Nothobranchius furzeri: one gene and its partners. The protein of the gene in region 1 interacts with the protein of each later gene in a biochemical or structural test. Links are inferred from orthologs where the notes say so. Each region holds a gene or a part of one and is shown on either strand. Other genes may lie near its edges.

The links. The genes of interacting proteins can lie anywhere in the genome.
Region 2: of the proteins of nup62l (region 1) and ogt.1, one has a biochemical effect on the other in vitro, tested with the Homo sapiens proteins (2 studies listed by BioGRID). The link is inferred for Nothobranchius furzeri from reciprocal best matches to the Homo sapiens genes NUP62 and OGT.
Region 3: the proteins of nup62l (region 1) and nutf2 form a complex in vitro, tested with the Homo sapiens proteins (3 studies listed by BioGRID). The link is inferred for Nothobranchius furzeri from reciprocal best matches to the Homo sapiens genes NUP62 and NUTF2.

What each region holds. Positions count from the first base shown.
Region 1 is NC_091754.1:20,876,473-20,880,943, reverse strand, and holds nup62l (nucleoporin 62 like), read left to right. Parts: upstream 1-1,742; 5' UTR 1,743-1,933; coding exon 1,934-3,376; intron 3,377-3,456; coding exon 3,457-3,615; 3' UTR 3,616-3,794; downstream 3,795-4,471. Other genes in the region: pdk1 (pyruvate dehydrogenase (acetyl-transferring) kinase isozyme 1, mitochondrial), read right to left, coding at 836-944. UniProt on the Homo sapiens protein: Essential component of the nuclear pore complex. The N-terminal is probably involved in nucleocytoplasmic transport.
Region 2 is NC_091741.1:100,471,587-100,476,325, reverse strand, and holds the start of ogt.1 (UDP-N-acetylglucosamine--peptide N-acetylglucosaminyltransferase 110 kDa subunit), read right to left. Parts: upstream 2,914-4,739; 5' UTR 2,698-2,913; coding exon 2,661-2,697; intron 865-2,660; coding exon 684-864; intron 276-683; coding exon 32-275; intron 1-31. UniProt on the Homo sapiens protein: Catalyzes the transfer of a single N-acetylglucosamine from UDP-GlcNAc to a serine or threonine residue in cytoplasmic and nuclear proteins resulting in their modification with a beta-linked N-acetylglucosamine (O-GlcNAc).
Region 3 is NC_091744.1:83,048,908-83,053,547, reverse strand, and holds the start of nutf2 (nuclear transport factor 2), read right to left. Parts: upstream 2,914-4,640; 5' UTR 2,823-2,913; intron 2,529-2,822; exon of another isoform or gene 2,403-2,528; intron 1,780-2,402; 5' UTR 1,757-1,779; coding exon 1,658-1,756; intron 1,310-1,657; coding exon 1,238-1,309; intron 1-1,237. UniProt on the Homo sapiens protein: Mediates the import of GDP-bound RAN from the cytoplasm into the nucleus which is essential for the function of RAN in cargo receptor-mediated nucleocytoplasmic transport.

The DNA.
Region 1 (4,471 bases):
GCCTTTTTAGATGGAGGCATGTTGGAGGCAGGGCAAGGGAGAGCCGTCTTTACCGACTGTACACTCCACCTACCTCTACTCCCCCACTTGTCCAGATGTAGGCTAACATCAGATTTTAACCATAGGCCCTATCAAATAAAAATGTTTTAAGCCTAGTCTTAAAAGTAGACAAGGTGTCTGCCTCACGGACTAAAGCTGGGAGCTGGTTCCACAGGAGAGGAGCCTGATAACTAAAAGATCTGCCTCCTATCCTAATTTTAGATATTCTGGGAACCACCAGTAAAGAAGGCACCTCCCGTGTATTCTTGCTTAGCTAGCTAAACAGCTAACAAACGAAGAACAGACACCTCGGTAGCACATGATGATTGGAACACGCCTTGGCGGTACCTGATTACGTATCTCCTAGGCAACCGGGGCAGGACCAAGACATCAAGAAACACCGAAGAGTTTGAGATAAAACTGGGTGTTAATTGGCAAGTATCTAGCAATATAATATGTTGCTATACAGGAGAGACGATACGATATATTGAGATACTAAAAGGCTGACTATTTTTGCAATTTTTAAGTGAATTTAACTGGGAAAACTCAGACAATTCCAGTGTTTTCGCAAGATATCGGTCTGTCAGACTGAAGGAGGAAGAAACTGCTGCCACCTAGCTGTCAGTGTTTGATCTGCACCACACAAAAGAAATACAAGAAATGTTGGCATGTAAATTCTCAATAATAGATACTCTGCTTTTAAATATCGATTCTGTATCATAAACCGAAATGTTGTGATATTTCAGTGCATTGAATTATTTTTACATCCCTAGAGTGTTATATGAATACATCTCACCAAAATCCAGAAACTGCTTCATTGAAAGAGGGGAAGGAGAAAATCTGGAGTAATAATCGATATCCTTCCCTACTGACACGCTGTTCCTCAGAAACCTCAGAAGCCTCATGTTGACCGGGTTTACTAGTTATTCGGAGGAAGCAGGTGGCTTCCGAGCCACACTTAGTGTTATTTAACGACACTAGCTCGTTGAGCAAACCCAGCAGCTCGCAAACACGCTGTTAAATTTATTATTGTTCAGTTACGTTGCTAATTGATGCAGGTTCAGCATCCATAACTACGGCCGCGCTGCAATGTTTGTGTATCGTCCGGTGTGTACTTCAAGTGATCGCTGCTAAATCCACCGAAGCAGAAAAGTCAACAAGCTAATTCAAAGAGTTACTACAAAGTTCAAGAGGATTCATCGTTGTTGCCTGGCGTATACCGACACGAAGTTCTGTTGAAAGGCTGTATTTAAAATTATTGTCAATATTGACGGTAAATTGCGAAAATAAAGACGTATAAATGCACGATAATGTCCTAAATAATGTCTTTTATTCACGTGTGTATGAAAGAAGAAGAGTTGATAGTGCTCGTTATTCTGTAACTATCTTGCCTTTGCATACTCTTTGTAAAGGCCAAACTATATATTTTTCCGAATGTTTGTCTATCAGGCAGTCAAATGAGCCTATCATGTACCTCAAATCTAATCATAACTCTGATTGGATAAAACAGTTGCCAAATAAATTAATAGGCGGAATTATGTCCCTGCAGACAAAATTCAGGGCATACGAGAATGCCGCGTCTCGGGTGTCGTCACTTCCTTTAGGTGGCCAGATAATTGCCTGTTAAAGGAAATGTCGGTTCACAGGCCCACGTTTTTAGCAATGTGTTATTGATTTTGGCTCTATATTCCTCGGAAGGTAACGTTGATTAGCGTGTGATTTCATTCATTTCCTGCGTATCTGTGCAAAGTTACTTAAATAGACGCAGTGGGGATTTTAGGAACTTCAGTCGGAGGAGTTGGTCATAGCGACCCGCCAAAAGCCACAAGATTCGGCAAGGAAGTGGCCGTTTTAAACGACACGTAACGGCTGTGTTTAACTTCTTGTGAGGATAATGAGTGGCGGATTCAACTTCGGACAGAATGCAGGGTTCGCCTTTGGAGCGCAGAAGACCACTGCCGCTGCCCCCAACGCGGGTTTTACATTAACCAGCTCAGCAGCTCCGGGAGGGGGGTTCGCCTTTGGAAATGCCAACCAGACCAACCCCACCGCCTCTTTCAGCTTTGGCACCCCAGCCAAGAGTTCCGCAGGCGGCACGGGGTTGTCTTTTAGCACGCCTACTGCCTCGTTTGCTCTTGCTACCCCTCAGACAACACCGGCAGCAACAGGGTTGAGTCTGGGCTCTGCAGCAACTCCGGCTGCCGGGTCAGGGTTCACCTTAGGCAGCCTGCTAACCTCGCAGCCCCCAGCTGCTGCACCAGCAGTAGCAACAGTGGCACCAAGCGGGGGAGGATTCACCTTCGGTGCTCCCACACAAGTCCAGCCTCAGTCAGTGGTAGCACCCACAGCCACGACAGCAGCAAGTGGCATGTCCATTGGAGGGTTCAGTTTTGGTGCTCCCAAAGTCCAGGTGACCTCAGCTGCAGCCCCCACTGCTGCCACAGGAGCGGGATTCAGCTTTGGAACCCCTGCAACCACCGCCTCTGCAGCTCCAACCACCCAGGGTGGAGGTTTTAACTTTGGGATTAAACCTTCATCAACCCCAGCCCCTACAGCAACCACCCAGGTGGCTCCGACTCCAGGCCCTACTCTGTTTGCGACACCCATAACCACCACCGCCGCCACTACAGCAGCAGCTCCAGGATTCATGTTTGGTGCAGCTCCAATTTCGGCTCCACTTTCATCGGTGAGCACTGCAACCACCACAGCAGCTGGAGGGGGCTTATCCTTCCCACTCAAACCTCTGAGTTCAGCAACCACCACCTCTGCTCCGGCCTCCATCCTAACTGCAGCCGCCACCACAGGCACAGCTACGGGCTTCATACTGGGACTCAAAACTACATCCACCACAAGCACAACCACAACAGCCACAACAATCGGCACCACCACCACCACTGCTCCTCCTGTGATGACCTATGCCCAGCTGGAGAGCCTCATAAACAAGTGGAGTCTTGAGCTGGAGGACCAAGAAAGACATTTCTTACAGCAAGCGACTCAGGTGAATGCCTGGGACCGCATGCTGGTGGAGAACGGAGAGAAGATCACATCCCTGCACAAGGAGCTGGAGAAGGTGAAGCTGGACCAGAGGAGGCTGAACCAGGAGCTGGACTTCATCCTGTCCCAGCAGAAGGAGCTGGAGGACCTGCTGTGTCCGCTGGAGGAGTCCGTGAAGGAGCAGAGCGGAACCATCTACATGCAGAATGCCGATGAGGAGCGTGAGAGAACATACAAGCTCGCTGAGAACGTAGACGCACAGCTGAAGAGGATGTCTCAGGACCTGAAGGAGATAATTGAGCACCTGAACACATCCAGCGGCCCAGCTGACTCCAGTGACCCAGTAAGATCAGATCTAAGTCATCCTTAAACCTGTCATTATGATGTTTGCCTTTTTCATTCATCTCTTTCTCTCTGTTTTAGCTCCAGCAGATTTGTAAAATTCTCAACGCCCACATGGATTCGCTGCAGTGGATCGACCAGAACTCGGTTCTCCTGCAGAGAAGAGTGGAAGAAGTGTCTAAACTCTGCGACACCCAACGCAAGGAGCAGGAGAAGAGCTTTCGTTTAACCTTTGACTGATCTGTTGATGAGTTTAACTCTGCATAAACATTATGCTCTTTTGTTTGGATTTACTCATTTCACTTTCTGTTTTGGTTTTATTAAGATAAATATTTTCTCAATAGTTCTTTATAAAGTTAATTGATCATATTAAATGTTCTGGGTAGTGTGATTAAATAAAACAATTGCAGTGGATCTCATTCAGCCTGATGTGGTGTGTCATGACTCTAATTCTCACATCTAATCTGAAACATGAAAGATCTACCAGACTTTTTGAGTTGAAATAATCTAAATTACTTAATCATTTTAGAGCTTTAACTGTAATTTGTCTCAGTAATGATCTACAAGCTGCTTAATTCTACCTGAGCCCTAGATTAGATGTAAAAACACAAGGAGGCGGGTGCAAGAAATGATAAATGACCCGCACTTGTATAGCACCTCTCAGAGTAAGGACTCCAAAGCACTTTACACTACAGTGTATCATTCATCCATTCACACACTGATGGTGATGAGCTACGATGTAGCCACAGCTGCCCTGGGGCGCACTGACAAGCAGAAGCATTGGTTTTCTTAACAGCTCCAGATAAGGTAGTAGAACATGTTGGCCAACCTCACAGGTATGTTGCAAAACACTTTGAGATTTTCATTCTAATACAATGTTAAAAAATACAATTCACCATTTCTACAGTAAAAAATTCCCAGGAAATTAAACAGCCATGTCACAAATATAAAAATGGACTACAGTTTGTCCTAATTTGCAGAATCTGCTAAAAATAAGAGCTTCATTGTCATCCGCTGCTTCCCACCCAAAGCATCGAGATTGATTGTTCCATCATAGGCTGGTAATGTCTGCAGAATCCACGAATGGGGAAACATG
Region 2 (4,739 bases), on another chromosome or scaffold:
CCACAGAACTACTCTGTCAACAATCATTTACCGGGTTGTACTGTAAAGCAGACACATAAGCCTGTACTGCTCCCTCCATGTCCCCCGCGGCCACCAGTGCTGCTGCCAGGTTTATGTATCCATCAATAAAGTCTGGCTTCAGCCTCAGAGCGTGGCGGTAATGCTCGATGGCCTCCTGCAACTGACCGCGCTCCTTGTACACATTCCCCAGATTGGAGTAGGCCTCAGCAAGCATTGGGTTCTGCTTGATGGCCAAGGTGCTGAAGTGAGCGGACCTGCAGGGCAGAAACAGGAGCAAACCGTAAAAACCCAGGAGCCCAGAGGCAACAGTTACTATCATTTACTGCTAGAGGCGACAGAAACGTGTAGAAAGGTTGAAGGAAGAGAATAAGTGCAATATTATTACATTTATAACAAAACATCAAACTTAAAACTTCCAATTTATAGTTTAACCCTCCGTTTGGGAATTAAGGATGAAGCAACACTTAAACCACAGCACCCGAAGAACAAAGCCATGTTGGACTTTGGGGGGGGGGACCTCATTAAACTAAATTTCCCACAGAGTTCAGATGTTTAACTTGATCTCCCAGCTCAGATGAGTGCGACCTCAAACCCAGAAGCCCAATACAGTTCTGCCATCTCCACACCACATTCTGCTTAAAGCCTTTCCCATTACACCTCACCTGTCAAGTCTTCGACACTGGAAGTGAATGGAAGACAGAAGCAAAAGCACGCCTGTGTTATCAGGCTCCTGCCTCCACAGCTGCATGCAGTGACGCTCAGCTGCCTCAAAATCCCCTGACTGGTACTCGCGGTGCGCCAGCTCCGCCAACCCTTGGAAGGAAAGCATACGTTTTGTTGGTTCTGGAGCACCAACATGAGCCAAGGAGGGGGGGGAAAACGACATGTTAGAGGTGATGGAATAAATGAAAGACAAATGAAAAACAAACAGATGGCAAAGCTTTCAATAAAGAACAATTTTAACTCAACAGAAAATGGAGCAACAAACAAAATCAAAGGGTCACAAAATCAAAGGTGATATAATAGAAAATGTTTGGAAACCATCATTTTTAAAACATTGTTGTATTCGATAACATTATAATTCAAATCTTAAGAGTGATTTGTGAGTTGAATAGCTGTAATGAACTGCTCCTTTATGAAACTTTGTCTTTTATTTTAAAATTACTGTCGGCAAAATAAAACGTAATGCTGACTGAATCAATTTAGTGTTGAATTAATCAAATAATTTCATTTTAATCTGTTTTATTGTGCTTAGAGATTATTAAGCACAAAAATAACAATCCAATATTAATGCAAATATATTTTATCACTCACAGAACAAAAAAGAAAATTGATAAGATGAATAAACAAGCGGGTAAGGGAATGACACAGAGGGAGATGTTCTAGAATCCTGTTGGCATTCTGGAGTCCAGGCATTACAAAGGATCTTCATCACATATGCATTACCATTATTAACCATATTTGCTTAGAGGAAATAGGGAGTGGCAGAGAACATGTGGAGGAAAATCACATGATTACATTTTAAAAAGACAGAGATCATTTTTGGAAAAGTTCCTCCACCCAAACAAACTTAGATCAATGCCTTTAGAGTCCAGAAATCAAACGAAAGATTGTTGTAACTCAGGTTTCTAAGGAAAGGTGTGGCCAAATGTATTTACAAAGACATTTCAACACTGCTCATCTGATCTGGCCAAGCCAGACTTTTAACATGTTTTTTTAAATTACATCTGAATATGTCTCTAATTTAAATGATGCTGGTCAAAAACAATCATGTTAGAACTTGCCAGTAGCAGTCAGCTGATAAAACTTTACATGAAACCAACTAACACACGTATTTAATAACTATTTAGTTTTGCTTCAAAGACCATACTTTTTGTTCTCACAGTTCTTGCCCTGGAGATTATTTCCTGTGGCAAAGGTGGTTTAATAAAGAAATACTTTTTTTCAGTTGTCCAAACGCATATCTAATTTACACTGCAATCAGATCTTACAATTCCACATCACCTAAATAAAAACCCCATGGAGACCAATATACATAAAAAGTTAATTGTATTATAGCCAGAATACCAGCAGCAGAAATCGTCATGGTTTAGTTTCCTTCCCTTCACAGTTATGTAACCACGCTCCTAAACGTGAGAAAAGGACTGATTTATTTCATACAACGTCCCACTCATTATTACTCAGCTGGAATGCAGTTTTGGGAGGAAACCTCAGCTTTCTCTGCGGCATCGGTGCGGTCTGCACGGACTGGGTCAGCAGGACTCTCCGCCATGCCGGATCGGTTTCTTTAAAAAATAACTTGACGCTAATATAAAACACAGTACCCCAACCTCATCGCAGTATCCTATTTACACGCTATCAAAATAAAATAAATGTACACGTAATCCGTGTAATATGCAGTTTAGCACCACGTTAAGGGGCAATGACACGCGCAGACCCGGCGCATTTGGTTTAATTGTGCGACACTTTCCTATACAAACAGCTGTTACTTAGTGTAGGCCTAAAGCCTTCGTATAACATGTGTAACCATGTTCATTTTTAATTATGATCATTTTTACAGTTAATAATCGCTTCCTCGCGTTAGCAGGAAATGCTATTTTACAAGCTAGCTCCATTAGTTAGCAATATAAGCAGCCTACCTGTGCTGTCGGCCACATTTCCAACTGAGCTCGCCATCTCCTCGGTCTTCGTGTCTTGTGCGGTGGTCGTCAACGTGTCTTCTGAAAAATAACAGCCCCAGGAAAAAAACGGTTCTGTCTCGTATTCTCGGTGCTTGAAAGTTAGCCCGCTGCCCGTCGAGTTAGCAATGCTAGCTTACTTAGCTTTCTAAAAATCCGATTAAAACACCTTCGCAGTGTTTTTTGTTTATTAGAAGATTAACTAACCGGTCAAATCACGCTGTTGCTATAACTAAATATCACAGAAATTCTATTGTTCACTGTAAGAGTCTACCTGGCTGTCTTCCTGCTCCCAACAAAGCAGCGGAACATGAAATGGCGAAATGAGGGGAACTCGTTTTTCATGAGAGAGAAACTAGGTCCCTCTGGCAGTTTTTTGATTAAATATGCGTACAGTTTTAATATGCGTATTTCATTACGAAATAGTGCGGAAACCCCAAAATTTCAACTATGTGCCATACATTTAGCAATACAAATGTGGGTATCAATACTATCTAGCGGAGGGATCTCACTGCGCAGTGAGACAAAGGACGAATGCTGTGAGCTGAGCCGGTGCACGACTAGAACATGGCGTTCAGGCTGCTAATTTATTTTTCACTGTTTGCTTAATGAAACCGGGATCCACGCGGTGTTCATCATCACATCTCAGCAGAGCAGAAGACATCTCATGCTAATGTGTTAACCCTTTTTCATTGGATCAACACATTTTCCACACCAAAGAAGTCATTCAAGTAGAACTCAATTGTTTTTGGGTAACCAAACAGAAATCACCTTTTCCTAACAATTCGAAACTCCATACATCAGTAAGAAGTCCATGAAGCACCCATTTGACACTCGTTTACACAAATTAAATGAAATCACATTAGCTATCATCCGGCAGGCCTGTAGGTGCCAACATGGATGGAGAAAGTCTATAGGAGGATCTTTGTTGGCAAGAAAACACACAATATGGCCTGCTGTGACAGCAGTGCTGTCAATACACGACGTACACTTCCATTAGAGCTTGTGGGCAAAATCTTCAATATGTAAACATTTTTAACGTCTAAAGACAGGAGGAGGTTTAGAGAGAAGCAATTGTTTTAAGTGTTTAAAGCTCTTGCTTGAAAGACCATTAAAAGATCTGACCACTTTTTGATCTCAGTTCTTGCCCAGGAGATTCTTTTCTGTGGCAAAGGTGGTTTAAAGAAACCTGTAAACTCTGTATGTCTTGGATGGGAGCTCTTTGTCCACTAATGTTCACACTCTGAATCATTCCAAAAAAGGCCATTTTTCTCCTTTACCGCTATCAGATTTTACGTCATTGCTTCCAGTGAACAAAATATTCATGAAACATGCAAGACAAAACACTCTAAATACAACGAACAGACACACGAAAACAGCAGCAAGCTCAAAAAACGGTCTAGAATCAGCTGTGGTTGACCCCATTTACCCAACACAAATCAGCGGTGTCCATTATTTGCATTGTTTAATTATCAAAGCAGCTTATATTTGAGCTGATATTATTGCAGATGTATAGATGATTCTACTCTTCAGGAGATTGCCAGACACCCCCTACCCAGTCATGGACTCCTTTTGCTTCCTTGGGACCATCATCACCCATGAACTCAAGTGGGAGATGTCCATCAGCCCAGCTCCCTCATCTGGAAATCCCAGCAGAGGATGGTTTTTCTGCAACAACTGGGAAACTGCATGCCAACTACGATGATGGTTTTATACGGCCATCGCCTCCTCCATCCCTGTGTGGTACCTGGGAGCCACTGTCAGGGACAAGCAAAGACTGCAGCGTGTTGTGCGTTCAGCAGAAACAGTGATTGGTGCCATCCCATCAATACATGACCTGTTCACCTCCAGGGTTCTGAGAGGTGCAAGTGGGATAACAGCTGGTCCCGGTCCTGGTCTGTTTGGTCCTCTACCCTCAGGGAGGAGGTCCATGTCCTTACAGACTAGAACCTCACACCACAACTTCTTCTCCTCTGCTGTTAGACTCCTGAACAACCAATAACCGTTTCAACCATTTGCAACAGTCGCCTATATTCCTAT
Region 3 (4,640 bases), on another chromosome or scaffold:
GCAGCTTATAATGAGGTGCGGCTTTACTGAAGATTTTCCTTCACCTGCAGGGGGCGCTTTAGCAGAAAGTGAAACAGGTGGAAGTCAAAAGTGGAAATAGAAGAAAGTGCTCCTTTTAATTTAGCACATGCAAGCAGCTGGCACGACGGAGAATTATTTTCAAATCCATACCCCCTCATCATGGTAACTACACGTATGAGTTCATATGTTGCCACATTTAAATTGAAGGCCATCGATCTGGCAGTAAAGGAGGGAAACAGCGCTGCCGCACGTAAGCTTGGCATGAATGAATCCGTGGTTCGGCGCTGGAGACGGCAGCGGGAAGAACTCATCCAAGCCAGCTTCACCCGGGGATGATGACAGCGACACTGACATCACCACAGAAAAGGTATGTGACGAAGCTCTTCTGAGGCTGTTCAACTCCGACACTGAAGAAGAGGACTTTAATGGCTTTAGTGCGCAAGAGGAAGATGAGAGAATGACTTTTTCTGGTATTCAAGTGTGTTTTATTTACTAACCAGGCATGTTTTGTGTGCAGTTTTTATTTTCTAATCATCCGGGGCTTATTAATGCTGTCAGCTGTTCTTTCCTTCTAAACATGCAAATTACCGGTAATAATGTGTCAGTGCTGTTTTTATTTTATAAACTTGCAGGCACGTTCACCCGTGTTTAAAATTTGTTTTGTTGAATTAAAACAACAACGAAAAACCTCCGTGTAGCGTCTTTCTGTCTAACTATCTTATGTTATGGCCGTACATGCGCTGTGCGCCGGAGACCTGCATGTGGCTGCTGCGCCGCGGCTTGTATTTGAGTGCAGCATGTGTGTGTAGAAAACCTTTTTTGTTGTTGGTGCGGCTTCTATTGAGGTGCGCTCTATAGTCTGGAAATTACGGTATATTTGCCACATGAGGATATTTAAAAGCATGTCATTTTGACATATATAAACAGAGGAAAAAAATATATCGCAATATATAACGATACCGCACATGCTTCAGATTATATCGCAATATAGATTTGAGGCCATATCGCCCAGTTTTTATTGCACTGAAATGACTCAGCTCATTGTCATTCCCTTCAAGATTTCAAACACCTGTTATTTAAACATCATAATGTATTTTTATTATATCCTAACAAGCTCCAAACAAAATCCTTAATGTCCTGATGTTCTTCACCAGAACACAGTTTCTATCACACATTAACCACACTTCACCTCTGCATAGCAACCAGCAATACTCACAGTGAGTTTCTCGACAATTGCTATTTTTCCCTGGTAGGGCTGTCCTTCCCACGTAAGGCATGACGTATCAATCTGTGAAGTGACAGATGTAAAAAACAAATAAATAAATAATTAAATTAAAAAAAAAAAGAATTAAATGGCAGAAAATAATCTACACATGAAGCCACTTCACATTTCTCATGATGGAGAAAAACTAACACTACAATCAGTATTTAATTAGATTTACAAATTTCATCGAAATATTGTCAGTAAATATCATATTACTTATTAGACCCGAATAGAAAAAGATTTGTTTTCCTGAACATTTCCAAAAATGCTAAGATCACTAAAAATAAAAAAAGCTACAACAAACAGGAACAAAATTAGGCTTCTAGAAAAAGGTCATCAGAGGAAGCCGAGAAGAAGTCACGTTCCACCTACATATATGGATCCAAGCTGTGATCTGTCAGAATCAAACATCTGATAGTAATGCCGCACGAAGCTGGATCCTATCTGCTCCCACAGAGGCTGCTCCGCCATCCTGAATCACCCTCGAACACACGCTGCAGAGATAAAACAGAGAGGGTCAACACACAGAACGCACCAGGACACGGCAACAGAACTGTATGCCTGAAACTTAAACCCACAGAATGTATGTATGTTAATATTCTTCAGTGTAAAAGGATCATAAGGGATTTTTAGTATAAGATCAGCTTATGTGTCTGCCCACATATGATGAACTCTGCTTGTTTTTACAGTAATTATAATGTATATGATTAACACCTGTTATGTTTTGAAATTCGTGTTAACATTTCGTATTATTACTATTACTAGTTGTTTTTATCACTATAGTGGTAAACTAAAAACACACTTTTAAAACGTGATAACATTAATAAATAATAAAAAATACGTTGACCCTTTCAACTCCACGTAAGTGAAATAGTTCCTGAATCATATTATAATACTGAGATTTTATAAATAAATACTACTCCCGGTTTCCGCCGACATAACAGGTCACGTGACTCCCATAACGACATGGTTGACACTGGAGCAGTGAGCGGGCGCGCTAAACGTTAGCATTACTAACTATTGCGGTTACCGACGGGACATGAGTATACCAGTGCAGAGGAAACTAAGGTTAACACAAGAGTAGGAACGTGGAAATGAGGCAAATAAGACAGTAAACCTCTTTCAGCCGGTGTCGGTACAAGATCTGCTCGCCGCTGCTAGCTTGTGAGCTGACTTGTTGGTGGCCCAAACCTTGTAGCTTCCAGCCAATGCTAGACTTCGGGAACATGTATTTTCCAGGTGTTGAGTGACCGGCTGGTGTTCGCAGCAGGATCATGCTAAAAATACCCAACCCCTGTGAATACCGACGCCTCATGCGGGCCCGCGCAAACAGCCCTGGAGCCCCCGGAGCAGCTAACCCCTCACATAGGCGTGCCCGACACTAGCCTTCCTAAACTGAGAGGAGCTGCCAGTAAAACTGTCGATCCTGTCGTTAGTTGTTTATGTGTCTGACGAAACGACTGACTTTTGTTTTCACTTAAGCTTTGTTTCACTAATTTGTAGCAAGACTCGTTTCAAACAAGTACCACAAACTTACCTCTCACTAACGCCGAGGCCGGCTGCACGACAGAACAGTGCAATGTCTCCTTCGCTGCGACAGCACGTAACCAGAGACGTGTGCGCAAAGCATTATGGAGAATGTAGTCTTTATCACAGACATGCATAGTTGATGTTTATGAAAAAAACCGCCACATTTTTGTTATTTTTTCTATTAGTGTTTTTATGTTTTTCTAATGTTTTTTATTAATTTCCATTCTGATATTTGGTGGAACAGAAGATTGAGTTACACAGTTGCTTCACTTTGACGTCATCAACCCCAAAATCACCTTCCTACCACTGCGTTCTGCACGAGCACGTCTGCGCCCCTCCCATTTTGCCCATCACTAGTTTCTGATGACAACCAAGGTGGTATACATCTGTTTGATCAAGAGGACACAACTTTCACCTGTTTTTCTTTAGATGGAAGTGTCAACATGTTTCTGACATCACATGGGACTTTTGTTTCTGATGATGCTGGGGTGCTAGCTTCAGAGAAGGGTGATGATTTGTTAGATTTGTTTGGAGAGGAATACAATGTTCTGGAGTTGCTGCTTTGTGCTGAGAGTGAGCCCCAGGATTTATTGCGCTTAAAAGAAAGTTGGAACTAACAAACAAATTCGTTATTTTCACTGGATGGATTCGGTGAGGATAGAGCGGAAACATCACCCGCTTCAGGCAATACTGACGATGATATTTCCTTACTTCTGATGATGACATTTGAGTTCTGTTGGCTTCACAGGAATGTTTGGGATGAATTGAAGCTCAGACATCATTAGCTTCAGACGACAGTGATATTGACTCCACTTTGATCTAGAGGACGATTGTGTCTTTAGATGGAAGTGTCACTGAAACATCTGCTGTCACAGGAAAATTTAGCTGAGGATGAAGCTGCAGATTGTATGGAAGCCCATACCCGCCACTCAGAAAAAAAATTATTATCTCGTAATCATGACTTAGCTATCTCATAATAATGAGATACTATCTTGCAATACTATCTCATTATTATGAGATACTATCTCATTATGATGACTTAGTATCTCATAATTACGAGTTAACTGTCATTACTGGTTGTCCAGTAATCGGAAGGTTGCCGGTTTGATCCCGGCTCCGGACAGAGAATTCTGCTGTTGTGTCCTTGGGCAAGACACATAACCCACGTTGCCTGCTGGTGGTGGTCGGAGGGTCCGGTGGCGCCTGTGCTCGGCAGCCTCGCCTCTGTCAGTGCGCCCCAGGGCAGCTGTGGCTACATCGTAGCTCATCACCACCAGTGTATGAATGTGCGTCTGAATGGATGAATGATACACTGTAGTGTAAAGCGCTTTGAAGTCCTTACTCTGAGAAGCGCTATACAAGTGCGGGTCATTTATCATTATTATGACTTAGTATCTCATAATTATGAGATAGCTAAGTCATATTTATCATATGGGGGTGACTTCCTCTTTAAGTCTCAAACAGAAAAAGATCTGAGCAACGATATTGTGACATCATAATGTACCATCTAACGTCATTGTGTACTTCTTAGCCAATAGCGGTGGCAGATTTAAATTCAAATACGGTGCAGAGTTTTTACCTGACAACGGCACAACACTGACAGTTTTAGGCAGAAAATTTAAATTTTAACTAAAAGGCACTAAAGTGTAAAACTATTGACTACACGTGTCTGCGGCATGATTAGACATGCATTTATATAGTTTATCAGCAAAAAAATACTTGGTTTGGGGGTGACTTGCTCTTTAAAACAGTTAAAGGTCAAAATGAGCTGAATCTACAGTAACCTTCTACTTGATGTAATAATGGTGGGTTCAACATAAACACT